Linked DNA regions of Caenorhabditis elegans. The protein of the gene in region 4 interacts with the protein of the main gene of each other region in a pairwise test. Each region holds a gene or a part of one and is shown on either strand. Other genes may lie near its edges.

Evidence for each region.
Region 1: the proteins of nphp-1 (region 4) and snn-1 interact in a two-hybrid assay, tested with the Caenorhabditis elegans proteins (one large-scale study listed by BioGRID).
Region 2: the proteins of nphp-1 (region 4) and rnst-2 interact in a two-hybrid assay, tested with the Caenorhabditis elegans proteins (one large-scale study listed by BioGRID).
Region 3: the proteins of nphp-1 (region 4) and sumv-1 interact in a two-hybrid assay, tested with the Caenorhabditis elegans proteins (one large-scale study listed by BioGRID).

What each region holds. Positions count from the first base shown.
Region 1 is NC_003282.8:1,812,090-1,816,887, forward strand, and holds the start of snn-1 (ATP-grasp domain-containing protein), read right to left. Parts: upstream 3,011-4,798; 5' UTR 3,008-3,010; coding exon 2,880-3,007; intron 1,850-2,879; coding exon 1,778-1,849; intron 1-1,777.
Region 2 is NC_003283.11:1,059,792-1,067,627, reverse strand, and holds the start of rnst-2 (Ribonuclease T2 protein rnst-2), read right to left. Parts: upstream 6,034-7,836; 5' UTR 6,032-6,033; coding exon 5,748-6,031; intron 5,692-5,747; coding exon 5,566-5,691; intron 5,041-5,565; coding exon of another isoform or gene 4,970-5,040; intron 4,926-4,969; coding exon of another isoform or gene 4,477-4,925; intron 3,525-4,476; coding exon of another isoform or gene 3,037-3,524; intron 2,518-3,036; coding exon 2,364-2,517; intron 2,316-2,363; coding exon 2,160-2,315; intron 1,947-2,159; exon of another isoform or gene 1,932-1,946; coding exon of another isoform or gene 1,737-1,931; intron 1,526-1,736; coding exon of another isoform or gene 1,343-1,525; intron 1,300-1,342; coding exon of another isoform or gene 1,155-1,299; intron 293-1,154; coding exon of another isoform or gene 184-292; intron 133-183; coding exon of another isoform or gene 87-132; exon of another isoform or gene 60-86; intron 1-59. Other genes in the region: K10C9.7 (Homeobox domain-containing protein), read left to right, coding at 87-132, 184-292, 1,155-1,299, 1,343-1,525, 1,737-1,931; str-67 (Seven TM Receptor), read left to right, coding at 3,037-3,524, 4,477-4,925, 4,970-5,040. UniProt on the Caenorhabditis elegans protein: Probable endoribonuclease involved in the autophagy-mediated degradation of ribosomal RNA and ribosomal proteins in lysosomes.
Region 3 is NC_003281.10:5,248,541-5,255,897, reverse strand, and holds sumv-1 (Protein sumv-1), read left to right. Parts: upstream 1-1,710; 5' UTR 1,711-1,711; coding exon 1,712-1,852; intron 1,853-1,908; coding exon 1,909-2,084; intron 2,085-2,128; coding exon 2,129-2,221; intron 2,222-2,276; coding exon 2,277-2,425; intron 2,426-2,474; coding exon 2,475-2,554; intron 2,555-2,601; coding exon 2,602-2,773; intron 2,774-2,820; coding exon 2,821-2,919; intron 2,920-2,968; coding exon 2,969-3,060; intron 3,061-3,115; coding exon 3,116-3,184; intron 3,185-3,711; coding exon 3,712-3,956; intron 3,957-4,001; coding exon 4,002-4,054; intron 4,055-4,102; coding exon 4,103-4,290; intron 4,291-4,678; coding exon 4,679-4,841; intron 4,842-4,888; coding exon 4,889-5,099; intron 5,100-5,200; coding exon 5,201-5,455; intron 5,456-5,533; coding exon 5,534-6,078; intron 6,079-6,153; coding exon 6,154-6,317; intron 6,318-6,370; coding exon 6,371-6,473; intron 6,474-6,550; coding exon 6,551-6,627; 3' UTR 6,628-6,823; and 1 more. Other genes in the region: gop-1 (Protein CLEC16A homolog), read right to left, coding at 1-42, 91-248, 299-414, 462-654, 706-1,004, 1,050-1,180, 1,229-1,428. UniProt on the Caenorhabditis elegans protein: Nuclear factor that influences the activity of genes involved in vulval development.
Region 4 is NC_003280.10:10,648,383-10,653,925, reverse strand, and holds nphp-1 (Nephrocystin-1-like protein), read left to right. Parts: upstream 1-1,669; 5' UTR 1,670-1,696; coding exon 1,697-1,765; intron 1,766-2,287; coding exon 2,288-2,386; intron 2,387-2,639; coding exon 2,640-2,782; intron 2,783-2,838; coding exon 2,839-3,367; intron 3,368-3,417; coding exon 3,418-3,648; intron 3,649-3,826; coding exon 3,827-4,326; intron 4,327-4,404; coding exon 4,405-4,517; intron 4,518-4,562; coding exon 4,563-4,798; intron 4,799-4,859; coding exon 4,860-4,988; 3' UTR 4,989-5,033; downstream 5,034-5,543. Other genes in the region: lact-3 (Beta-lactamase-related domain-containing protein), read left to right, coding at 26-89, 289-426, 1,162-1,347; M28.10 (Flo11 domain-containing protein), read right to left, coding at 5,403-5,543. UniProt on the Caenorhabditis elegans protein: Plays a role in the extension of dendrites from phasmid ciliated sensory neurons. May be necessary for initial assembly of the cilium.

The DNA.
Region 1 (4,798 bases), on a different chromosome or scaffold from region 4:
AAAAATCGTGAAATAATCTCAAGTATTCGAATTTTCCTTCAATTAAAACCACCCGAAAATGACGGAAAATAGCGATTTTTGAGTTTGACTCAAAATATCTCGGCTCAATGAGCTCCAATCTTTCTGAAAAAAAGAATACAGAGGTAGGGCAAGCTTTTTGAAAAGACAGCAAAAAACCGCATCAAAATCCATCCACCCACCGTCAAGTTACACGCGCGTTTTCAAAGTGAAATCTTTTTGTCGACAAAAAGGGGCGGAGCGAGGGTCATTTTTTTTTGGATTTTGAAGCTTAATATCTCGGCTCCTGTAAATCGAAATTGGCTCAAAATTCACAAGAAAACTTATTTCACTGCCGTCCTCCTGTCATTAAATTTTCGTGAGCTTAGACAGAAAACTGACAAAACGCCAAACTTTCAAATTTAAAAAAATAGTTGAGGGTCATTTTGAAAACACCTTAAGCTTCATAACTCGGCGAGTTTTGATGGAATCAATTTGAAATTTTACACGAAAGCTTCTTAGTGGCCTATACGTCTCTGTGTTAAATTTCGCTTTGATCGGCCAACGGGAACCCTTTGAAAAATGAAAAAAACGCTGTAATCCTAACCCTAAATAGCGTCAGTGCTGCTGTAATCCTAACCCTAAATAGCGTCAGTGCTGCTGTAATCCTAACCCTAAATAGCGTCACTGACGCCAAGCCAAGGCATAAGTTTTAGCCTAGGTCTAAACCTAAGCCTAAGAGTAAGCTTAAGACTAAGCCTAACCCTACGCGAAAGCCTAAGCTTAAGACTAAGCCTAAGCCTAAGCCTAAACCAAAGCCTAGGCCTAAACCTGAGTAAGCCTTTCGCATGGTAAAATAATTTTTTCAAAAAAAATTAAAACTTCCAAAATGTTACCAGAGTATTTACCTAGCCTTGTACATATTTAAAATAATCGAATGTCTGCAAAAAGCTGTATTTCGAGCAATTTTACGGGTGTGAAATTTTTTATGATATATTATCAATAAAACTGACCAATTTTCAAAGATGGAGTAGCGTCAGTGGATTTTTTTTTGTTTTTTTTTTTTAATACACTTATAATGATTTAAGACAACCGAGTATCACATCAAAAAACTCTAAAAAATTTTAGATTTTTCAAAATTTCCGGACAAAGTTTTGGCAAATTGCCAAAATTTCGAAAAAATATGAGCTCTTGAGGAAATCCCAAGCAATGTCGCATGTTTCGACCCCTACAATGTTTTAATACAAATAATTGAATCAAAATCATTTACTATATATAAAGCGCTTATTCCGTTTGTCCATAGTTTGTAGTCTATGTAGTCTTTGTAGTCTGCGAAGTTTTAGCTTCTGGAGGGATAGTGAGTTGGGGGTTAGTGTAGGGATATAGTCGGGGTACTGTAGTGGTACAATAGTGGTACGGTAGGAATACTGTAGGGTTACGGTAGTTTCATAAAAAATTAATTTTCAGCCCCAGAAGTCGGGGGCCGCGCCGAAGGTGCGGTCCACGGCTGGTAAATAAATAAATAAATAAAAATTGGTTTTTTAAAGCAAAAATCTTTGATGTGCGTTTGTAAATTGTTCAATTCTTATAAATTTGTCATAAAATATTGGGTCCCATCACGAAAATTCCCAGGTTTTCGCGGCAGGATCGCTAAGTTTTGAAATTTGATCAAAACATGTCATGATTATACTCAAATGAAAGCTCTCTCTTGAGCCAAACTCAAATTTTTTATTAATTTTTTGTTTCGAACAATTTTAAAGCAAAATTCCAGCTAACAAACCTATCATGATTGAGTGACCTCTCCAGTGCAGCGGCAAGTGATTCCCGAGACTTGGCAGGTGACGTTGGAGCACTGAAATAAGTGAACATATCTGACAAAGTGATTTAAACACATGTTATCTTGGCAGCAGAACAGAATATAGAAAAAAAATGTGCGGGTTTCCATGGAGATACCCAGATTTGCATTTTCTCGGGAAAAATGAAGGAAATTCTCTGAGGAAAATTTCCCACGATTCTCTCATTTTACACTATATTTTATTTTTTTTTTATCTTTGGCAGTCTCAAAAGAGCCGCACACTACAATTTTAATGAATGTTTTCGCTAGCGGGTTTTTTGGTTCTTTCTTTTTTTTTTTTGAAGTGGATGACAAATTTTCTTGAGAATTTGTGTATTTTTTGAAATAAAACTTTTAATTTGAGCTTTTTAAATGATCTGGTGAAATTTTGGAATTTGAAAAGATCAGGTGGTTCAGATAAGTATAAACAAGCCCAGGTTTAGAATTAAGAGATTTGGAGCATTCCTGTGCTCCGCGAGCATTATCTGAACTGATAAGAATCTTTTAGAATCAATTTTTCAAACAAAAAAGTTCGAGCCTGTTCAGAAAAGTATAAACAAGCCTAGGCTTGGAGCTTTAGAGATTTGAAGCATGAGCGGCTCTGTGAGCCCGGGAGCTCCAGAATCAAATTTTTTTAAACCAAGCAATATGGGTGTCAAATTGATGCTATTGGCAGGCTGTACAACAATTCTGAACTGGAATTTGAAAAATCTGGAAAATGAAGCATATTGAGCTCTTTTTTTAAATTTTTGTCAGACAAAATTGACTGGAAACTGGGAAAAATATATTAAAAAAAGGTTTTTGAAAATTTCATTTGAATTTTCAGATTAAAAAGCTCAAGGCGGCCTAGGTTTGGAATTTTAGAGATTTGGAGGATCGGCTGCTCTGTGAGCTCCGGGAGCTCCAAACTCAAAATTTTTAAAAACCAAGCTATGTGGGTGTCAAATTCAAACTTTCAAAGTTTTCTAAACTGGAGTCTTCCCAGCCGGCCGAGCTCACGGAGCACACAAATATTTGAGATTTTTTATTTTATTTTAAAATTTCGTACCTTATCGTATTAGACACCTTATTAGCAATCGACTGAAATGAAAAAGAGCTCGGCGGTCCCGAGTTCACGTCATCCATTGGCTCACCCTCATCCTCGGAAAACGAGAATTTTCGCTTGAAGAAATTCATTTTCTGAAACTGGAAAATTGGATTTTCGTGAGCAAAAAAAGGGGGAAAAAGAGCAAAATGTCAGAGAGAAGCCACAAATTTTCTTAAAATTTCCCCAGAGACCTTTTCAACCCATAATTAGAGTTAAAAATAACTAGAAACAACTCAAAAACCAAAAAAAAAAACCATGAAATGTACATTTTGTGGGTGAAGGAGAAAAGGGGAAAGTGTCTGGAGGGGTTGAAGCTAAGGAAGTGAATAGAGAGAGAGAGAGAGAGCACAGAGAGAAACTTAGAGATAAAGAGAAAAAAGATGGAGGAAAGTGGCGAGGAATAGGGGCATCAATTTGAAAAGCGAGAACGTCAGTCCCCCTAAGGGGCCCCACAAACTTTTTGATGAAATTTTGAGATTGTTTAGAGGCAAGGTTGGTGGCCTAACATTTTTAGTTTAAGCTTTTAGGCTGTGTGATTAGAATTTTTGAATTCCCCTAGATTTTGCGGTTTAGAAAAGAATAAACATGGCTAGACTTTGAATTTTTGAGGAATGGGCTCGCGGAGCACCAAAAAGTGTCGATTTTCTGGAAACGGGCTCTTGCCGGTGCTCCGCGAGCCAAAACCCAGAAATTTCAGAACCTGGACAATATGAATATTATCTGAAAACACTAAACACGCTGATTCTGATACTTGTGTTCATTTTCCTCAAAAATTCAAATTTGTGCTTTTTAGAGCTGAAAGACACTGGGCTCCGCGAGCTCGAGACCGAAAAATTCAGGACTTGGACTATTTGAAATCTCTCATTGCTACAGTTTTTTTTAAAGAAAAATGTGAATACTTATTTGGAGCATTTCGAGCTTAAAAGAAGAAATTTCAAAATTTTTTCAAAGAAGAAGAGACTTTCAAAAAAAAAAAAAGAAACGTCACTTTTTAATTATGGCTTGACACTGGAAGATGTCTAATCAAATTTGAAGAAAAAATAGGAAAAAAAAGGAAGAAAAAAAAAGACTAACTCACGAAAGAAACTATTCGGGCCTTTTCAGTCATGGTTTTCAAATTTTAAAATCAGAAAAGTATATACATTACTAGGTTTAAGATCGCTGAGCACATCTGAGAGCTAGGAACTTTCCTCAAAATTTAAAGCTATTTGGAGAATTTAAAACGAAACATTTCTTAATTTCAAGAGATGTGTGGGTAATCTTGTATTCATTGAAGTGAAACAAGAAAGAAGGCGAGACGAAAAAGCGTATAATCCCGTAAAGTCGAAATGTTATACCCCCTTTTCTGCGTCGAAAAAAGGGGAGAAGCCGCATCCAAAATGCACATGGAGACGGAGAGAAACATGAAACAAAATCAAATGGAGCCGGGCGTAAGGAGAGTGGGTGAAATTTACATTTGGGTGAAAACTGAATTACCCAAAAAATACTAGTAGATGAGAGCGCAGACAATTTTTCGAGCCTCTGGAAAATGTAGAGAAAGCTCGAAAATTTGAACTTTTTAAATTTCAAAAATTTTTTATATTTTTGCGCCGAAAAATGTGAAATTTTATTTGAAAAAATGTCAGAAATTTCTGGGTACAAAAACTTTAGCATAGGATCTACATATTGGTTCATGTTAAAAATGCAAAAGTCTAGAGAAGCTCAGTGAAAATTCGAGAATCAAGTGTCAACGGAGGGACGGGGACACAATGATTGATAGCTGACTTACATGGCTTCTAGTGGTTTTTCTTGTTTTCCTTTTTGCTGGTTTGGGGGAGGGGGGGGGGGGGGGGGGGGAAAGCTCGTGTTGGAGCATGGTGCATCGACGCTAAAAAACTCGG
Region 2 (7,836 bases), on a different chromosome or scaffold from region 4:
TATTTGAACGTTTTCCACGACTCACAAAATTATCGGAAAAAAATTTATTTCAAATTTGCAAAACTACTCTTCTCAACGAAAGAAAAATGAAGTCGATTCAAAATACTATCGATGAGCTTCGCAAACTTTCCGGTAAGAAACTTTGAAATTTTTGGATTTTATTTTAAATTTAATTTTTTTCAGCGGGAAAATCATCTGAAGAAGTGCAACGTTTGAAGGAAATGCAGAAGCACTCGAAAATGTTTGGCGAGATTTTTGGAGTCTACGGAGCAACGGTTGGAAAACCAAAGCCGTGAGTTTCCATTTTTGGAGTTCTGACGGTTACGGTTGTCTGGCTCTGTGCATTTGCATGACTGAAAAAGGGAAATACAAGTTTCTAGAGAATTCCTATAATTCCATTCTTGAAGCTTTTTGGTTAACCTTTTTCGAGAAACCACGAGCTTCTGGCCTTCCTCAATGCATTTTTCGCGCTCTATTGACAAAAAATTGCCTGCCGGACAAAGTGTGGGAAAGTCGTGTACGCCACACGGACAAATACCTATAGATTTACAATGAAAACCGAGCCACGAAACGCAAGGCGACACGCGACACGCAACGCGGCACGCAACGCATTGTAAATCGACCCCAGATGTGGCAGAGCGATAATGGTCTAATTCGGCGAACTCTTACATTTAAAAATTTGAGGAAAGCCAGAAGCCCGCGTAAATAGCAATTTGGAATAAGTTCTAGAAACGTGGGAAACTTGAGAAAATTCTGGAACTTTCTGGAAACTTCATTTAAAATTCTGAAATATTCACGGATTTCTGGCTTCCCTCATAAATTGAAATTTAAGAGTTTGCCAAACTAGGCCATTTTGGCTCGGCCATATCTAGGGTAGATTTACGACGCGTTGCGTGTCGCGTCGCGACTCGATTTCAGTTGCAAACTAAGTGTATTTGTCCGGGTGGAGTACACGACTTTCCCACGCGCTGTCCGGCCTTGTCAATGGAGCGCGAAAAATTCAGTGAAGAAGGCCAGAACCCCGTGAATTTTCTGGAATTTTCTGAAACATCCAGAATTCCATTTAAAAATCGCACTTCCTATGCAATGACTACCGTAAACCCACTTAGCACAGATTGCTGGAAAGTTCAAAAATGTTAAAAACTTTCTTTCAGAAAAGAGAAGGAGGTCAAAGTTCCGACAAAAGAAATGACATTCGAGGAAAAACGAAAGCTTCTCGAGACCACTTTCCCCAATAAAGTGACTCCGGGGCAGCGTGCCAAAGCACGTGAAACTCTCAATTTCATTGCTAACAACCCGGTAAGTTCCGACTATGCAACAGCGCTCTAATTGACAATTTCAGGAAATCTATGCAATCGCATCTCCGCAGGATCCATCTTCGAAGGCTAAAACTGATCCGGTGTCCCGTCCCCAGCTCAATATAATCAGTTCGTTCTCTTGGCCGATCACTTCCGGCTCGGATTGGTCTCCACACGGAAGCGAATTCAACGATTTGACTGCTCCGAGAGTTGGGAAATTGACACCGGTGAGTTCAATTCTATTTTTTACTAGGGACGCAGGCGACGAGATGCCTGCCTGCCTCGCCTTCTGCTAAAGATTTTCATAAAATGCAGAAAAAAGGCGAGAAGCAGGTGGGTTTCAGGCCGGCCAGCCTACCACAGAAGGAACGTTTCAAAGTATGCGAATGCATAATTCCAGCAGCCGACAACTGCCTAGTTCAACATGCAATTTTGCAGGTCCCCCAGTGGTCCGACATGAAAAAGTCGTCGTTGAAGCTTGGTACCGAGGACAACTTCTCCAAAATGTCATATGATCCGGCCTACTCGAATACTACCCAATCTCAATCTGTCACAACTCTCTACAATGAGACATCTACCCCATACTATGATGATTCGGATTTGGGAACTCCGCTGCATACTTGTGTTCAATAAATATTTCTAGGCACCATGTAAAAGTTCCGAATTTTTTGTTTTGACAGTGGAAAAATTCGAATAAAAAATCCGAAAGTATCTCGAGAAAAATTTGGTCTGAGAGTTTTGAAAACTGTCAATTGCCGAAAAATCTTGAATCGGCAATTTATTAAATTGCAAAATTCCAACAAAAAATGAAGGATTCGGAATTTTGGAAAAGGTCAAACAAAATTTTAAATCGTAACCAACCTGGAAGCTTGGAAGTGGTGGCCCGCGTCTATTTCTGCCAATTGATCTCTCGAATCTGCTGACTCGATTCGGATGTTTTCCATCAGTCGGACAGTCTCGGATTGTCAAGTCCTTGTTGAGACACAAGCGAATGTCACCGAGAAGGAACTGTTTGGTCTGAAATTTAATTTTTTAGCATGACAATTTTGAGGCTTAAAAGCGTACCTTCTTATCCCGGAGGCAATGGAATTGGAAAGTTTTTCCGCTGGTGACTCCGCTCAACGCGTTTTTCAAGTCGCTCGAGGTGATTGGTTTTTCCGATGGTCCAACTGATTTCAATCCTCCAGCCACATCGATAGAGTCGAAGACTTTCATTACCCTGAAAAAATTATGTATTTCTTGTTATTGATTAGTTCACTATAGAAATTTCATGCTTACCAAGACTGATTTATATATTTTTTTTAATTCTAATTTTTCAATGATTTTTCAACTCTACGAAATTTTTTTTAAGGAGATGATTATTTTTGCATTCCCGCGCAAATGAATGAACTATTTTTTGGAATTTTGAATTTGTGTGCATGTTCTGTTTACAAAGCTCGATAGTAAAATTCACCGACAAATAGTTTCCCAATCAGACAGAAATTGTATTAAGATTTATTGGTACATTCTTTGAAAACCATCATGTGTTTTTATCATTCGCCACTTGTGAATAATATTGTGAAATTTTTTTTAAAAAAAGAATTCAGTGATACAGACTGTGGTTGGTGTTTGTATAATATATTTAATTTCCGGTGCTTCATACAATATAAATCGTAGACTTCATTTCTTCATTACATACAAAAAATATTTCCCGGGCCGAACACTCTAATTCTCTCGTTAAGTCTTCGAAAAAGTAAGAATGAGATTGTACGATTTTTCTGAAATTTGCAGAAAAGTTGGGTTTTATGCCAGTTTCAGTACTAACTTTGTATTAATCTGGATTACTGTCTTTCACGCGAAAAAGCTTTTTGGAGCTTATAAGAAAATGATCATATATATCTCAGTTTTGAGCACAAGTTTCTCGGGACTAGAAATGATCATGAAACCGTTTACTCATAACTATAACGGTGCGCTGTTGTCCTTCAACTTATGCGAACTAAATATTCCACTCAAAATTCGGCAGATTTTCATATTAATTTGGTCCCAATTCTACCTAATTGTAATTTCATTCATATCTGTGCAGTTTGTGTACAGATATCTGTGCGTATTCAATGAACAGAAAACCAAATATTTTGACGGTCTTAAAACTATCATCTGGATTTTATATCCCTTGGTAGTAGGAACAATTTTCGCATTGTCCCTACACTATTTGTGTGGTTCTGATGAGTTCACAGATTCTTATATAAGGTGAGCAAATTAAGGAGCTACTGGCAAATCTAGATGTTAATTTAATATTCGTCATTTGTTTTACACGGGTAAGCGAAAGTATATATATGTTTTCGGTTTTTTTGCTGGTTGAAAATGTATATTGTAATTGAGTATAGCTCAAAAACTAGGAACTTCATAAAGAAAACTTCAACTAAAAAATTTTTGCTCGAAATGTTGTCTACTGAATAAACTACCGTATTTCCTTTATTAGTCTTGCAGCCTCTATTAGTATTGCATGCAAGACTAATAGAGAACTTACGGTGATAGTCTTCCATCCCTATTCTTGCCAGACCAGCAGTATTTTTTGAAAACTTCAACAATATCGCCATTTTATAGCTAAATTAAATTTTAAAGTGTTAAAATAATTGATAAAACAATAGAAAAGTATGTATTTTGCATGATTTAGACTATTTCGAGTCAAATTTTGACGATAAATGGCCAATTTCATAAAGCTATTGGATCTTCGAAAATTAGTCTTGCAGTCTCTATTAGTCTTGCACCCCTACGGGTCAATCAAAAATTAGTCTTGCATGCAAGACAAAATACGGTATGTTAAGATATTTCTTAACATGAAGGTCAAGAGATATAGCGGCCGACATTTTGTGAGTCCACTTTAAAGCATTTTTCTAGAAACGTTTTCTTTTTCAAAAATACAGTAAACTAGAGCTAACAGTAAAGGTTTGAACTAGCACTTTTCAAACACTGCTTTGCCCAATTGTTTAAAAACGTGGTATCATTTTTGAGTTTTTTTTTGTTGCTGTAATTACATTTCGTTTATCATTTAACTGAAAAAAAAGGGTTTACCAAAATTCAATAATCATTTTTAGAAATTGTTCGACTCGCAAAATGTCGGTCGCTATATCTCTTTACATAAATGTAATTTTAAACCAAAGTTTCTCATTTTAATTTTATCTCAAATTATTCATTACAGAAAAGCCATTTTTGAAAACTACGCACTGGAAGTATCCGAACTGCCACGATATGCAATGGTACCATATGCAGCTGATGGCTCAATTCGAGCGAAGGGTATAATTTTCTTACTCTTCGCAATTGTTCTCATCAGTTTTTCATATTGCATTATTATATTTACATGTGTTCAAATGCATCGAAATATGAAAAAAGAGCTGAAGAAATTCTCAACTCAAAATCAAAAACTTGAATATCAATTTTTCCTTGCTCTCGTTATGCAAACTATTGGACCAACTATTTTCTTAATAATACCAACTGGGCCGATATTGATGACCCCATTGATTGCACCAATTTTCGAACTTGAAGTCAATTGGCAAACTGGTAACTTGTACTCACTTGTTGGATTCTACCCATCATTTGATAGTATCGCTTTTATGATGATTGTTTCGGAATACAAAATTTTTTTGAAAAGTTATGGCATAATGATTGATCTAATATAATTGTTTTTATTACAGAAGTTATATGTTGCCGGATGAAGAATAACACAGCAGTGCCCAGTTCAGCAGTTGCGGTTTCAACTGTATAGACAATTGAACCATCTCATCAACTTCACAAATAATTATTTCATCAAACTTATTGAAATTAACATAAAATCATTATTTTTTTAATATTCGAATGAATACAGTTTTTTTCTTTATATGCTTTATATATTTACCGAATATTGTTATTTGTTATGTTATTTGTTATGATTTTGTTTAATTTTGCAAGAAAAAAAACAAAACATAAAAAGAGCTGAATTTTTTTTGAATTTCCGCGCGAATGAGTAGCCTAGTTTTTACTACTTAAAAAATAGCCAATTTTTCACACAATTCTTTAACAGTAAAGAAAACTTGATAAGCAGAAATAATTTTATGGGAACTGCCTCAAAAAAATCATGTTTCAAATTATAAAATAAAAAAAAGAAAGAAATCCCAATTAATATAGCTGGAGAGCGCAAAAATGCCAAAACTAGGTCTTCTTTTTTGGTTTTCAAAGTTTTGAAAGAGTTTAAATTCAGTAGATGTATCTACAAGTAAAACTCAAAATCATCGTTTAATTAGAAACAACTTACTCTGTGAAGTAAGCCAACTCTGACTCGAAGAGCTTCTCACTTTGAGCACATGTCCCGTGCTTATCATACTCGTGTTTCCAGAAGGATTGAATCGTCTTTTTAGGGTAGAGGTTTGGCCAGACAACTCTGAAAATTTAAAATGTTGTGATATTCAAAGTTTATTCCAAATTTTTGTAACTTACACCAATCGATCTTCAATTGATTTTATCAAATTCTCATCGAAATGTCTTGGAGTCCCACGACAATTTTGTGGGTACGAGCCATTCTCAAAGTTTGGCCACAATCCGTGAATTGACCATTGAGGGGTACCACTTGGAATCTCACAGGATTCAGGGACTGAATCATCATCGGCACGGCAGACGGCGGTTGGGTAGATTGTGGTGAACATTAGGTAGTCAAATGGCTCACCATCATGAGAATAGGCTAGGGGTATACAGGATATGCAGAGAAGAAGGAGAAGTTTCATTTCTGGAAATCTTGCGTGATTATTAGAAGTAAAAAAATAGATTAAGCATATTATCAGAAGCAGAAAAAAATCAAATGATATTTTTAGGTACACAGGTTCACTTTTTGTTTCAATTTTTCCGCCTTTTGGGCAAATTATTTTGAAAACTATTTAACAAAATTTGACAAAAATTCCACAAAGTCTACTACAATTTCAATATATACAGTTAAATTGGAAAAATTTAGAATGTTTTAAAATGCTAATAAATTCTGTAACTAATTTTTAATTTTTGACTCCAAATTTTCACCTGATTTCAAATTTAACAAAATTGAGATTTTTAATTTTATCTTCAAATTGCAAAATTACTTTGAGAGTTAATTGTAACTTTCATTGAAAAATTTTTTAAATCGTTTTCTTTCAATTTTTTTCAAAATTTTAAAACTTCAAGTTTTATTTTGGAAAATCCAACTCATCCTATAAATGCTCTTGGTTTGCGATAAATATAAGGAAGTTTTACAAAAAATAACACAAAAAAACGAGAAAAAGTATTGAAAATATACATTTCTGAATATTTTTGCCTACAAAAAATATTTTATTTAAATTTTTAAAAAATTGTATTTTTTTGATTTATGGAAATCAAAAGATTGCCAAATTGCAAAAAACAAAACTTTCAATAATCTAAAAAAACATCAATAAAACTTTTTGGAATTTTTCGGTTAGATTTTCAAAATTACAGGAAAAATTTGGTAAATTTGGTTTCTAAAATTTCATTTTAATAAGATGTTAAAAAGTAAGTATTGGAATAAGTTAAAAAATCCAAAAAATTATTTGAAAACAGCAGAAAAAGGACAATACGGATTATATTATCGACTGAAAATAAATCTGACCAAGAAACAGAACGCAATAATGTACGTACTGGAATGCTGGGAAGTGAGCAGTCTACTGGACAAAGGAGTGTCAAGTGACAGGTGCTAACAGCTGCCACATGATTTATTGTTGAGACCATTCAGATTTAAGACCAGATAATTTTTAATTAAGTGCAACTACATAGGATGGTTTTTGGTTTGAAAACTAATTTATTAGGAAAACAGAACATATTTGACCTCGCAGAAGAAACGCAAAAAAGAATGATACATATATCTTATCAAGAAAGTAGGTAAAGAAAAAACAATAAATGATAACAAACAGAGATAGTGTGACCTGAAAACAGAAAGTTTGATAGCGACTCAGCGTGGCCTAGAAATTGCGAAAAAGTTCGGCCACCAAGAATAGCGGCTAATATCAAACTAAAATGATCAAATGTAATGTAGAAATTTCAAAAGTTGATGTGAAATTTTCCGTCAAAAAACCTGAGCCACTTTTCACCCATCATTAAAAAGCAGGAAATAAACACTGATATTTTCAAATTTTGAACTTGTTTTAAATTATTGTTTTCAAACATTTTCCTCTGCAGAAGTGATTGAAGTTACTTGAAACCCCCTAACTTATCAAAACTTTAAATGAAATAATTTGAATTAGGTAGTTATTTAAGATAATTGTACAACATTAAACAACCGTATTGCCTCTATTACTTTTGCATGCAAGACTAATTTTTGATTGACTCGTAAGGGTGCAAGTCTAATAGAGGAAATACAGTTTTTAGATAAGTTCAACCGTGCATAATTACATTTTTAATTTGGCGCAAAAGTAATTTTTAGAGATATAGAAAAAAGCATGTCTGCTTCGTTATTTAAAAAAAACGTAGATATTTAGGCATAAGGCATGTCAGCTTACTTTGTAAATCTTAACATAAAAACAAAAATTATTACGACGTTAAGTTAATATGA
Region 3 (7,357 bases), on a different chromosome or scaffold from region 4:
TGACTGGAATCAAATGCTTCCAGTAGAAAATCGAAAAATACGCTGAAAATACTATATTCAAAGCAAAAATTTTAAAATTTCAGCTCTTACTGGTCTTCATTCACATATTCTCCGGTTGGTGATGATAATGTAATCGGTTCTAAGCAATATTTCTCATTATGACGTATCCAATGGGTCGTCAAAGTATTCTGAGTGTCAAATAGGAAAGATGATAAAAATGTATATATTGTTTCATGGTGACGAACTATCTGAAAAATAAATAAATTAGAAAAATGTAATTTTAAATGTTAAAACTCACCAATAAAAATTCAGAGAAAAAAAATAACGCAGAAATCGGAGTGAGTAGAAGTGAATGATTATCTCTTCTTGGTGATATACTTGAAAGTAATAGAGGGCTTAAGTATCGTGTTGTTACTGAAAATTTAACATTAAAAACTTGATTTTCCAGCAGTAAAACTGACCTAAAATTGATAAACTTTCGGCGACAGCTTCCACATCCAATAGTTCACCAATATAATGAATCAAATCAATTAAATCATCCACTTTTCCTCGTAATCTCTCTCGATTAGCTAACACATTCTCAGCAGATCGTACAAATGTGTCCATTTCAAGTGAGAGACCAACTAGAGAATCTATTAACTCCGATAGATATTCCTGTAATATTTATTGCTTAAATACACCTTTTCAAAATAATTTTCTACTAACTTTTGTATGCTTGATAGCGAAAATAATCATTGAATCATCTTGAACTCTCACAATATTTAAAAGAATATTTCTAACAGCAATTCGAACCATTGATTCATTCCAATTATAAAGCTTCAAAACTTCTACCAACAATGGAAATTCTTCAGTCGTTTCATTGAAGAAGAAGTGGATTGTAGCTGGATTCAGTTTAAATGAAAGAGTTTTCAGAAAACTAATGTAGTAAGCCATGATCTCATCATTTTGTAAATCGAATTTGTGGGAAATAATCGAGTTTACATGATTGTTACTTAGAAGGAAATCTGAAAACTGGCAATTTTAAGCGAAAATCCATATAAAAAACTTACAAAGTGAAGTTTCATGTCGAATATTTTCGAATAAAATGTTCAAAGTCTGCAGTAATTGTACATTTAGTGGTGTGTTTCCTTGTTCCATAATTTTCAAGAAATAAAGAAGCATTTGCCGCTCAAGGAAGAAACTGAAATTCAACATCAGATTTGAAAAAAAACATTGGAAAAAAACTCACTCAAAAACCGAAGCATCATTCTGATCGCCCCAAATGAGAATTTCTGCGATAGCTCGTAATGCTTCTACTAATATTTTCTTATTGTTTTCCGTAACTTTCTCATTTTTTGTGAGCACTCCTTGTAAATATTTGAGGTATTCCAAAGAATGCGGATTTTTCGGCTTCCATAGTGACCCAGAAGAACCAAGCTTGCGGAACATTATCGATTTTGTTCCAGGTTTATTGGTGCATTCTGAATATTTAAATATTTATTCAAAGTTTAAAAAGAAAGATTTAGCTTGAAAATTAAATTAAAAGAGAAGATAAAAACTGCGCACAAGGGTGCGCCGAAAAAAAGTTTTACTTCTCAAACGATGCTCCGAAATAACGTTTTCGCGTGTTGTTTATTACTTCAAATTTCAGTTGTTTATTTTTCAGAAAATTGTTTTAATTTGTTTTATCTCAACTTTTTGACTCAATTTTCCATTTTTATTTTTAAGCAGCATGAAACAAACAACTCGTCCTCCTGCTCAATATATAGTTGCACCTGGAACACGATTCCGTCTTGTTGCCAATGAATACGACAAAAATAAGTATGGACAATGTAATTATGCTTCGTATCGAACGCTTGTTCGGTGTAAGCAGGTGAGAAAAAATACGAAAATTTGATAGTAAGCTTTTTTTCAAATTTAAAATTTTAGATACGATCAAAAGAAGAACTTGCGAAACATGGCGGCCGTTGTGAAGAGCACGTCGAATTTTCAAAAACGTTAGAAAATAATCATAAGAAAGAAGTGATGCGGTGCCATGCGGAAAATGATTCAAAGATGCAAAGACGTCGTTTTGATCCGTGGATTGCATCAAATGAGTATATTTCGTAAGTAAAGTTTTTTTTTTGAAATTGAAAATAACAATTTCCAGAGACGATGACGACTACCTCCAAGCTGCTCAAACAGTTCCTCAGCGTCTTCCAGATGTGGCAAATGATGATATATTGGATAATAATTCGTTAAGGTATTCTTATTAATTATTTTTCTTGGGAATTAGAAAAATAAATTCGAAATTTCAGATACGCTGAATACTATACTGACAAAGATATATTGAATATCAAGATGGATTTAGTACAAAAGGATATTGACGATTTAATTGAATTTAAAGAATTGGTCACAAGTCAAGCACAAAAAGAGCATGAATTGTTAGGAAATGATGAAGAAGAAGGTAATTCAATTTAATAGGCATTTTCGATGAAATTTATTGCGTTTTTCAGATTATCCAACAGATATGGCCCAGCGAAGAATTTTCAAAGCATCCACAAAATACTCAAGGAATGACTATCTGACATTGACGGTAATGAATTCTGAAAATGTTTCATTATTCTATTGATATTTTTTTAGACAATTGATCCAGTATTCCATCAATGTTGTGTTGGACCAGATATGGATGATTCTTTAGTTATTGTACACACAATGCACTCTATTTTGGATAAAATTGACAATTTTGAACCAATCGACTCTGAAAAGCAATGTAACAAGCCGGCGCTTCATCTTAGCAAATTTTGCTTTGATCGTAAGTTTTAAAAATATTTTTTCGTGGCTTACAAATTCAAAGTCCAGATATTATACTGGATCGTTCTCAAAAAATGTTCGATGTCTGCAATGCATGTGGTCTTACTGCAATTGGAGGAGTTGATCCGAAATGTTCGTTCCATATAAGTGAGTGCCAAATCATTTTGAAAAAATCTGATTTTAAAAAAATTTCCAGAAAGTTCTGCAATAGCTGAAACTACGTCTTGCCCGTGTAATCGGTGTGTCCAACCTGGTGAACATGCTTCCCCGAAAGATGAGAAAAATTCGGTAAATTGTTTTTTTTTCAATTATAGAAAAACATTTTTTAAGTCGTTATTTTTAGATAACCTGCTATTTGAATTCATCCGACGACGACGAGCCTACACTGGGAAACTTGTCAAGAATCGAATCGGTTTGTTTTTCAGACATTTTTGAGTTAAAAGAGAAAAAACCGATCAATTTAGATTTTGATATTCCCAAAATGACCTCAAGCAGCCGATTTTCACTTCTCAAAAATTTCCAAAAAGTTTTGTAGCGAGGTTTTTTTTTCAAAATTTTGAACAAATTCAAATTTTCTGAAATATAAAATTTCACGAGGTTGTCCGTGTCGCAGCAGTTATCAATTTTGGAGAAGGGTTTTTTTGAGCGATTGTGATCATTTTTGCCAAATTTCGGTCTAACTTGTCTAGTTTCAATGATTTTAGGAAACCTATCACCTTTAAGTGTACCTAAATCAACGTATGAACAAGAAATAAACTACCACAAAATGTAACAATAGGTGAAAAGCTTTATTCTATTTGCTGGACCAAAAAAAGTTGGGTTTTTTCTGTTTTCTGCATTTTTTTGCGCTTTTTTTCAAAGGTTTGTGAAATTCGGTTTTTGAGGTGATTTTGAACCTATTTGAGCCGTTTAATATTCTAACATTTAAAAAAGTTACAGATGGTTTCCCCAATGCAACAATTTTCAAATCAATCGAATACATTAACTGCTCCATTACCCCGTCGTTATCAAGGTCCACCGGCTCAAGTACTCCGGCCACCACAAATGGGACCACCTCCAGGAATTAATCAAGTACCATATCAACCAAAAGCTAACAGAACTCCTCCGATGACATCACAGCAGCTCCACGAGCAACAGAAATTAAAAATGCAAGAAGAAGAGATGATGTCTCAAACGTGTGCAAGGTGGGTCTTGATTTTACGATGAATGTACTTTTAGAGAGATAATAGTGATTTCAGAGTTCGACCTATTGATGCAAGTCAGTTTGGTGGAGGAAAGAAGAGTTAGTTTACGATTAAAATTGGAAAATTTCAATTATTTATAATTCCAGAACAACGACTACCACCAAGACGTTCTCCATCATTTGGGACATCTCCAAATTCTTATCAATTCCATCAACAATCACAAAAGAAAATGCCATCGATAATATCGACAGCGTACAATTCGTCACCTGGAAAAATGAATTTTCAAGGATGGAAAAATCAATCTACGAGCTCGGCTACACGGCCTCTTCCACAGGTAATATTATTCAAACAAGCTCCACGTACATTTCAATACGCTCCGCCCCCGAGTCATGGGTCTCGTTAGGTATTTGGCGACAAAACCGAAAAAAAGACGAAAAATGTTGTAATATTGAAACGTGATTCGGAAAAATTTTAATATCTGGATAAAAATTGCACTCTTTTAAAAATGGGAATGACTGTTTTTTTTTGAGAGAAAGGAAAATTTAAAAATTTTTAAGGTTTTCAGTATATCAGAATTTACGTTTTTGGCTCACTTTTATTTTCGAAAAAAACGAAGAATAAATTTTCGGCAAAACATTTAAAAAAAAACCAAAAATCTACAGGCCCTAGTCCCAAATAATAATTTTTTCCAATCTAAAAGTGTCAATTTTATAATTTTCTAGCCTCGTTTCCCAGTTCATGCAGCTCGTTCACAGCAACCGAAGATGATTCCATTAGAACAAACTCAAGATTCAATTGAAGATGATATTGGACCATCACCCATGTTTCAAGGACCAGAACCATCGAGACGCGGTGTTCCATATTATAAAAATGCCTATCGAAGAAGTAAAAAAAAAGTCTAGTTAATAAAATATCTAATCTTGAATTTTCAGCTGAACTTCCATCTCGTCATGCCCAACACTCTCCACTCACTCCATCTACTTCTACATCATCATCTCAGCTATTGGCTCCTCCTAAATCACCACAACCCGGTACATCTTCTCAAACTTTTCGATCTCAAGCATCACGTCTTCCAATAGCACCACATCGTGCTATAGCTGCAGGACTTAATCCAGCCGATGTCGGAACTCGCCCAGCTTATAGGTAATTTTTTCGTGAAATCTAACAATAAACTGAAAACTATCACCGTTAGCTGGAAATTTTTCAAGTTTCTACAATTTCAATTGAAGTTTACATGATTTCAGATCTCAAATGGCTGGCCAAAGACCAGGAATGACGCCGTCAGCGCAACAAGGAAGCCCTCAATTAATTTCTCCGCCAAGACAAGGATCTATGATGCCAGTAGCAATGAATCAGAGCCCTCAAGCTGTTCGGCGACAAACTCCAGTTCCACCTTACCGTCTTATGGGACCCCAAAGAGTTACAACAAGTTATACGGTTGTTCGATCAGGAAGTTCATCGTCTGTAGCTGGTCCATCAAGAAGTTCTGTGGCTTCGGGGTTTGTATTTATAAATTATTCGAAATTCACAAAACCTTCAAAGAATCTGATTTCTTCTGATTTCTGAATTATTTTCAGCTCCCAGCATACTGCATTGGACACAGTTCAGCATGATCCACGTTTGGCAAACATCAATGTACGAACATTTTTGTCAATTGGAAATCGGGATCTTTCAACACTAACTCAAGATGAAATAGATCTCTTGATGGCTGGAAATTCACCGGAAAAGGGAGGCAGAAAGGCCGGTGCTCCCGGTGCAAAAGAATCATCAAAAGCTGCGGGAGGCGCTCAAAAAGGAACTTCTGCAGCTTCAACAAGCGTCCCAGAACCGACGAAAAGTTCAGAATCATCAGTGGATCCGCAATCAGATGTATCATTTTCGAATCCTTCACCAGCTCCAGAAGTTATAGAAAAAGTTGCACCAGCTGCGATGACAATAACTTCCAATAAACGGAAAATCGATGAAACTTTGGCATCTGAATCAACATCTTCGGAGGCTACATTAATACACGATACAACTTCTTCTTCTTCTGCAGAGACAGTGTCTGGAGAGCCTCCAGCAAAGAAATCATCAGATGTTTCAGCACCTGTGCCATCTCCAGAAAAGGAAAAGGAGAAAATAGGTTAGTTATTCTACTTTTCCAAAATCTTTGTAATTTAATAAAGATTGATATTTTAATAATATTCTCAATTCTCAGATCGTCCAAAAACTCCAAAATCATCTACAAAACGGACAACACCAACTCCATCCGGAAGAACACCACGGGCGGCCGCAATTGCAGCGAATCAAGCTATTTCTCATTCAAAACCTAATGTTCCCTCTGCGTCTACATCTTCTTCGGCTGCTTCCACCGATCAAGAGGTAAAATTTGTTTTTATATTGTGAAGTATCATAGGAAAAAAATTATTTTTCAGAATCCGCTAGATTTGCTTGCTGAATTGTCGGTAGCTGCAGCTGCTGAAGAGCAACAACAAGCAATAGGGAGTACGTCGAAAAATGGAGGAAGCACAAAGAAAAGTGAGTGAGAAATTATTTTTTAAACTCATTATAACCAAAGATTAATGTTTAATTTCTCTACTTTTTTCCATTTTCAGCGCAAAGAAAGTCACCTTCTCGTTCATCAATAGGAAAGAAACGAGAAAACAGTGAGGAATATGAGGAGGAACTTTGAAATTTTAATTTTGCTTCAACTTTTCATAATTTTTAATATATTGTTTCACGATTTCGCTATCCTCACCATTATTCTCTTAATGATCTGTTGAATTATCTTATTTTCATATAATTTTCACCTTGTTACCTCCGAAATTATGCATTCTTATTAATGATTTTGTCTCGCCTTACAGTTAATCATAAATAGTTTTATTGTATTCTCCATCTCCCTTCTTATCTAGTAATTCCCCTCATGCAAATCCATTCGACATTTCGGCGCAACCTTCTCCCGCACAAAGAGCTCTTGTGTGTTACGTAACAGGAGGTGTCAATATGAACAGAAGACACCTCAAAGAAAATGATGTGCAGAGTATATCCGGTTACCATTTCTACGGATTATGTTGGCGGCAAAATAAGGGATTAATTAAAGGATGAAGTGTACACTTCCCTTTTTTCGTTTGAAGGATCAAGATGATCCTATCAATTACTAAATAAACAAGAGAACGCCTGGTTAAAGGTGCACGCATTTTTCAGACGTGGTCTTGCAGCGAAAGTTAACATTTATGATTACACTAACTAATTTTTTTGAAAACATTTAATTAAAACGAGACAATTCGTATTAACATTTTTTAGATTTTTAATTTTAGTTTGGCATGTACCTTTAAAGTGATACATGTATGTATGCGGAAATAGGTGCAATATAAATAAAAACCATCCGGATGCATTACAATGGAGTACGTGATACCATCTGC
Region 4 (5,543 bases):
TTTAAAATTCATGTTTTTTTTCCAGATTGGAGCAAGCTGCCGCACTTGGAATGGGAAATGCTCGTTCTCTTGCCTCACTTTTTGACAAGGTTTGTTCTCGTTTTTTTGATAAATTTATGAGAATTTTAAGTTTTTTTTCGTTTTGTTTGAACATCGTTATCAGCTGAAACTAGGCTGATAGCGAAGAAAAGAAATTTTTAAGTCGAACAAAAAAAAAGAAAAAGGAAATTTCCTTGTGACTGTTTAAAAAAACTGAAACAAAAACGATAGTTAAGAGGATTGTTTCAGGTAAATCGAGGAAAACTTCTCAATCAGGCTACACTGAACACGATAAGCAAACCGTTCGTCAACGAGAGTGATTTCATTTTTGATGATACTGTCGCCAAGGGACACGGATTTTTCCATTTGCCCATTCATAGAGCTGGGGTGAGATTTTGAATAATCGAAAGAGGGACGAGGGATGATGGAAATTTTGAACTGAAAAATTTTAAAAAATCCATTTTCACAATAAAAAAACCAAAAAAACCAACAAAAGTCTGAAAAAACTCTTAAAGAACGAAAAAGTCAAAATTCATCCAATAAAGCAGATTTTTTAATTTTTGCCAAAAAAAACTTTTAAAAAATCCATTTTTGCGAAAAAAAAAACCACTGTCCTTTTTCCCATAAAAAATTCAAAAAAATCAATTTTTCTCAAAAAAACCCGAAAAGTACCTTTTTGCTAAATAAACATAAATTAACAAAAATTAACAAAAATTAACAAAAATAACAAAAATTAACAAAATTAAAAATAAATTAAATAAATAAACATAAAACATAAACAGCCAAAAATTAATTTTTGCATTAAAAAAGACTGAAAAATCCATTTTTGTAATAAAATTACAACTGCCGAAAAAAGCAAAAAAAAAAAAATTTTGAAACCCCCAAAAAATTAGCAAAGGACCAAAAAAAAAGAGCCCAGGTGGTGAACAGAAAACGAAAAAACAGGAGAAATTGTTGAAAAACCATTAATTTCGAATTCATTCAAAAAATGAAAATGCATAGAAAAAATATTTAAAACCCTAAATTTAGCTAAAGAACCTGCAAAATGTTAGGAGCGTTTTTTTATTTAATTTTCAGTGAATTTTTTTAATATTTTTCTTTCATAATTCGCCATATTTTCAGACTCAATTCGGCTTCGGACATACCGGGCACGGATGCCAAATGGTCATCACAGATCTCAAGAATCGAGTGACAATTGCCTACGTCACAAATGGGTTGAAAACGGGACTCTACGACTTGTGCAGGACGTACTGGGGACTTCAGACTTCTGTATATGATGTCATCGAACAAATTAATATTCAATCATAATTTATTTTATTTCATTTTTTAATTAGTGATTCCATATAGTTTTAAGATATATCCCAAATCATCCCGCGTGTTCTTTGTACAGTCCGTTTTTAATTCATTCATTCCAAGTGTCGTTCTCTCAATGTTGAAGCTTCTTCCCCCGTAATTAACTGACCGAGTGACCCCACAAAATTGCATATTTATCTGCTCTCTCTCGATTTCCTTACTAATAAACCATCAGTTCACCAGTTTTTAACCACATTTGCGGGGAGCTGGCAGGTGGTAACCCGCAAGTTGCCAGGGGCAACGAGGGTGGCTTAAGGCAAGTGGCCGCGCGGAAAAGAGCTTTCCAGGGGGAGAGGAAAGCAGGATGTCCATATTTGGAAGCATTCTAAGTCTGCAGGATGCCATAAATCGATTTCCGCAGTTTGAATATCAGGTGGGGAATATTAATTGTTAACACGAATTTGAAAAGGAATTCGATTTTTTTCAATTTTTGGATTTTTTTGTAATTTATTTAAAAATTATTATTGTGAATTTTTTAATTTTTCCATTACACATTATTAAATAACTAAAAATTGAATTCGTGGTTTATTGTTCATTTCCAACTAAAAAAATCCCTTCAATACCCAAAAAGTTGCAGTGGGGCGCATTTTCAACGTTTTAATTAAATTTCAAACGTATAATTAAAACTGAGTCTCGTCACAACAGATTTTTGTTAAATGCGGAAAGGTGTGCGTCTTTAAAGAGTACTGTAATTCAAAATTCCAGAATTTTTTTTAAATTTAATGTACATATTTTCATCTAAAAACTATTAAAAAACTAAAAAATTCCTCTGCAACGAAAGTTTGGAATTACAGTACTCTTTAAAGGCACACAACTTTTCGCATTCGACAAAAATTGTCGTGTCTAGACCGTAAACCGTATTTTCAAGGAAAAATAGCAAAAGCCTTTTTTTCAGATAAATCGCCTCGAAAAAGAGCAAAAAGACACCGAAGCCGCGTCGAGAGCAAGTTTTCGCAAACATTTTGTCAGACAGTGCCAGGAATTGCATAGACAGGTAAAAATTGCATTTTCTCTATCTGCCTTATGCCTGGCTGCCTACGGGCCTACCTACCGCCCATTATGGGATCTCCGGTTTGATTCATAGATTTTAGGTCGACCAACTTTCTATTTAATTTCAATTAATTGTTTACAAACATTGAAAAATTGTTAGGCATATGTGTAGACCGTAGGCACTCTGGTAGGTAGGCATTCTCGTGCCTACGTAGAAGTATCATTCAAGGATATCAACATATGCATACAGTTTGCAGCTCGACGATCACCGAAATCGAATTGAAAAGGCCAAAACTGACGAGACCTACAAGAAAGAAAACGCTCTAGAGCAACTTGACAAGTTGAAGCAAAGATTGACAGCTTTGAGCCCGGAAAAGGAGCAATTATCGTTTTCTGTCAGGTAAAATTATAATTAAATTCAATTTCTCTAATAAATAGTTAAATATTCAATTCCAGTGTGGACTCTCAATCAGAAGAAGAAAAACCGAAAATGGCTGCAATTGGCCGCCGAAAAAGCACAATGTATAACGATGATGAATCAGAAGATTCTGATAATGATTCAGAAATTATTGAGACGGATGTTCAGCTGGATGATCCTCTTCCGAGTCAGCCACAGCCTCCACAGCAACAGCACCAGCAACCTCAACCAAAACCCAGACAACCTATCACAATTACAAAACCTCTTGAATCAAAGACTTTGAATGAACGTCAAGAACTTGATGAAGTCATCTCAAGGCTTCAGAATCCGAGTCGTGGAGATTCTGGAGAAGTTATGGAACCAGTTGTAGTCCGTGGCAATGTTTTTGTTGCAATTGACAGTTGGGATGCAGAAGCTGAAGGGGATTTGGAGTTAATCAAAGGAAAGAAGTATCGAATCACACAGACAAGATCCGATGGTTGGTGGACTGCACTGGATGAATATGGTCAGAGGGGTCTTGTGCCAAAGACTTATTTACAACATGTTAAGGAAAAGCCGAAGAATGTGGTTTGTTACTTTTCTCTAGTATCGTTAGTTTAATAAGTAGAAATTTTCAGCCATCAAAAGTGTCTAGTCGCCTCGGAGTTCGAGATTCGGTGATCGGAATATCTACGACTACTGATCCATCAAGACGAGAAGCAAACCGGCAGGCATCTCGAGTTGATGACTGTCTTGGTAAAGCATATGACAATGACACTCACTTGTCACTAGTGTGCCATATGGCTCCGAGACTATCAACTTCAAATATTGGATTTCATGATCTTTTTTGGAGTCATTACAAGGATCAGGTAAAAGTTTAAAACTTGCAGTTTCTACCCAAAAAATGCTACAGTTTTGCCAAAAAACCTCTGAGTCTTCCTAAAAACGGCTGAGAAAATTGCTTTAAAAATTTTTACTATGAATCATTTGCTACTCATAGCAACACATTTTTTGCTCACTTTCATAAATCAACTATATTTTTTGCAGGTTTACAAGCGAACTGTCCATATATCAAAAATTATCCGTCTAGTTCGATTTGAAAAGATGCCCCTAATCGAACACAAGGCACTTGTCAGAATGGCTCTTGTCGACATCACAAATCCAAAATCCACTCAAATTGTGAGCAACGTGCACACTCTTGTGCCACGTGTCAAATCTTCAACGTGGTACTTTGAGAAAAAAGAGAGCCAGACGAGAAGCTGCATCGAGTTTTCTGATTTTGTTCTCCGCTCAAACTATCGATCTCCGACAGTGGTACTTGTTGTGGAAGCATCTCATTTGGTGAAGACACAAATAGGAATTGAGGAAAAGAGTTTGGGACATACATATCTGCGACTGATAATTGATGATAAAGCAGTGCCAAGTAGAACGAATGTTTTGTATTTGGATGATGAAGTGATGACAAAAATGAAGTTGCCGGAAGCTTCGAAAAGAAGAGTTCTGGTTCAAGTGATGGATGTTCCCAAGGATAAGGTTTCATATGTGGAGTGAGTTTTGGAAACTAAGAAAGCTGAAAATCTGGATCCCTGACCTGACTTTAAGTTCAACCCAAATTATTTTTCCAGCTCCCTCCCCGATGTCATAGTATTCAATGCTCTTTATTTACCATTCTTCCACTTTTACCGCCGACGAGCTGGAACCATTTTAATTCGGGACAATCGGAATCCATTGAGTGCTGGTAGGATTTCATACCCACCCAAACAATATTTTGAACTAATTTCAGAATTTATATCTGACCCACTTCTCTCTGTATTCCCATTTGTTTGTGACCAGCATGACATTATGGATATAATGCTGAAAATTTGGAAAACCAAAAAGAAAGTGCTCGCCAAGAAAAACGAAGCTGAACAAACTGCCGAGTTCTTCCAAACTTTTCTACACACCGCGTTTTTTATTCATGGGATTCGAATGATTTCGTATGATGTCAAAGATGATCTTACTCTTTCGATTAGGCAACAGGTAGAGCTGCTGCTCTTGGAGCTCGTTTCAAAATCAGGCTTCGATTATTGTAACATTTCAGACTATGCAACGATTTGTGGATGCATTGAATAAGGGACTTTTCAAGCAGTTCATCGCAGATCAACAATGCAAACCAATCAATATTATCGATTATTCATTGGATCTTTTAGGCAATCATTCTATTGACTAATTTATGGAGATAAAATTAAGCTCAATAAAAAATTTAACTGTGTAATAAGTTCTACTCATCTAGCATCTAAGCATAGAAATGTTTCAGTCATTGTTTCAGTAAATTTCAAGTTTTGAAATTTTTGGTTTTGAAATTTTTGGTTTTTTTGTTTAATATTTGAATAATTTAGAGTCGACTCCCAAACATAGGAGTGGTAAAACTGAGCAATGGCCATTTTTCAGTTGTAAATTTTCACACTGTACCCTCTCAAAAAATGGATTTGAAATGAAATATGTTTATTCGCAATAATGAATAAAATTGGGCGATTTTTCAGAATCACAGCCTCATCGAATTTATTCCATTAAGGGGTTTTATTACATCATGAAATTCTGCGAGCTGACGATCAGGATGTGGTTCTGAGAAATCTAAGAGTTCCTAAACTGGCTTGCCGCTGATTACAGTAGCGGCAGCGGAAGAAGCTTCAGGTGCGGCGGTAGAGGCCTCGGAAGAAGCAGCGGTTGATACCACAGAAGCTCCACTTGCAGTAGTATCTCCACCAGCTGTGGATGCAACGGA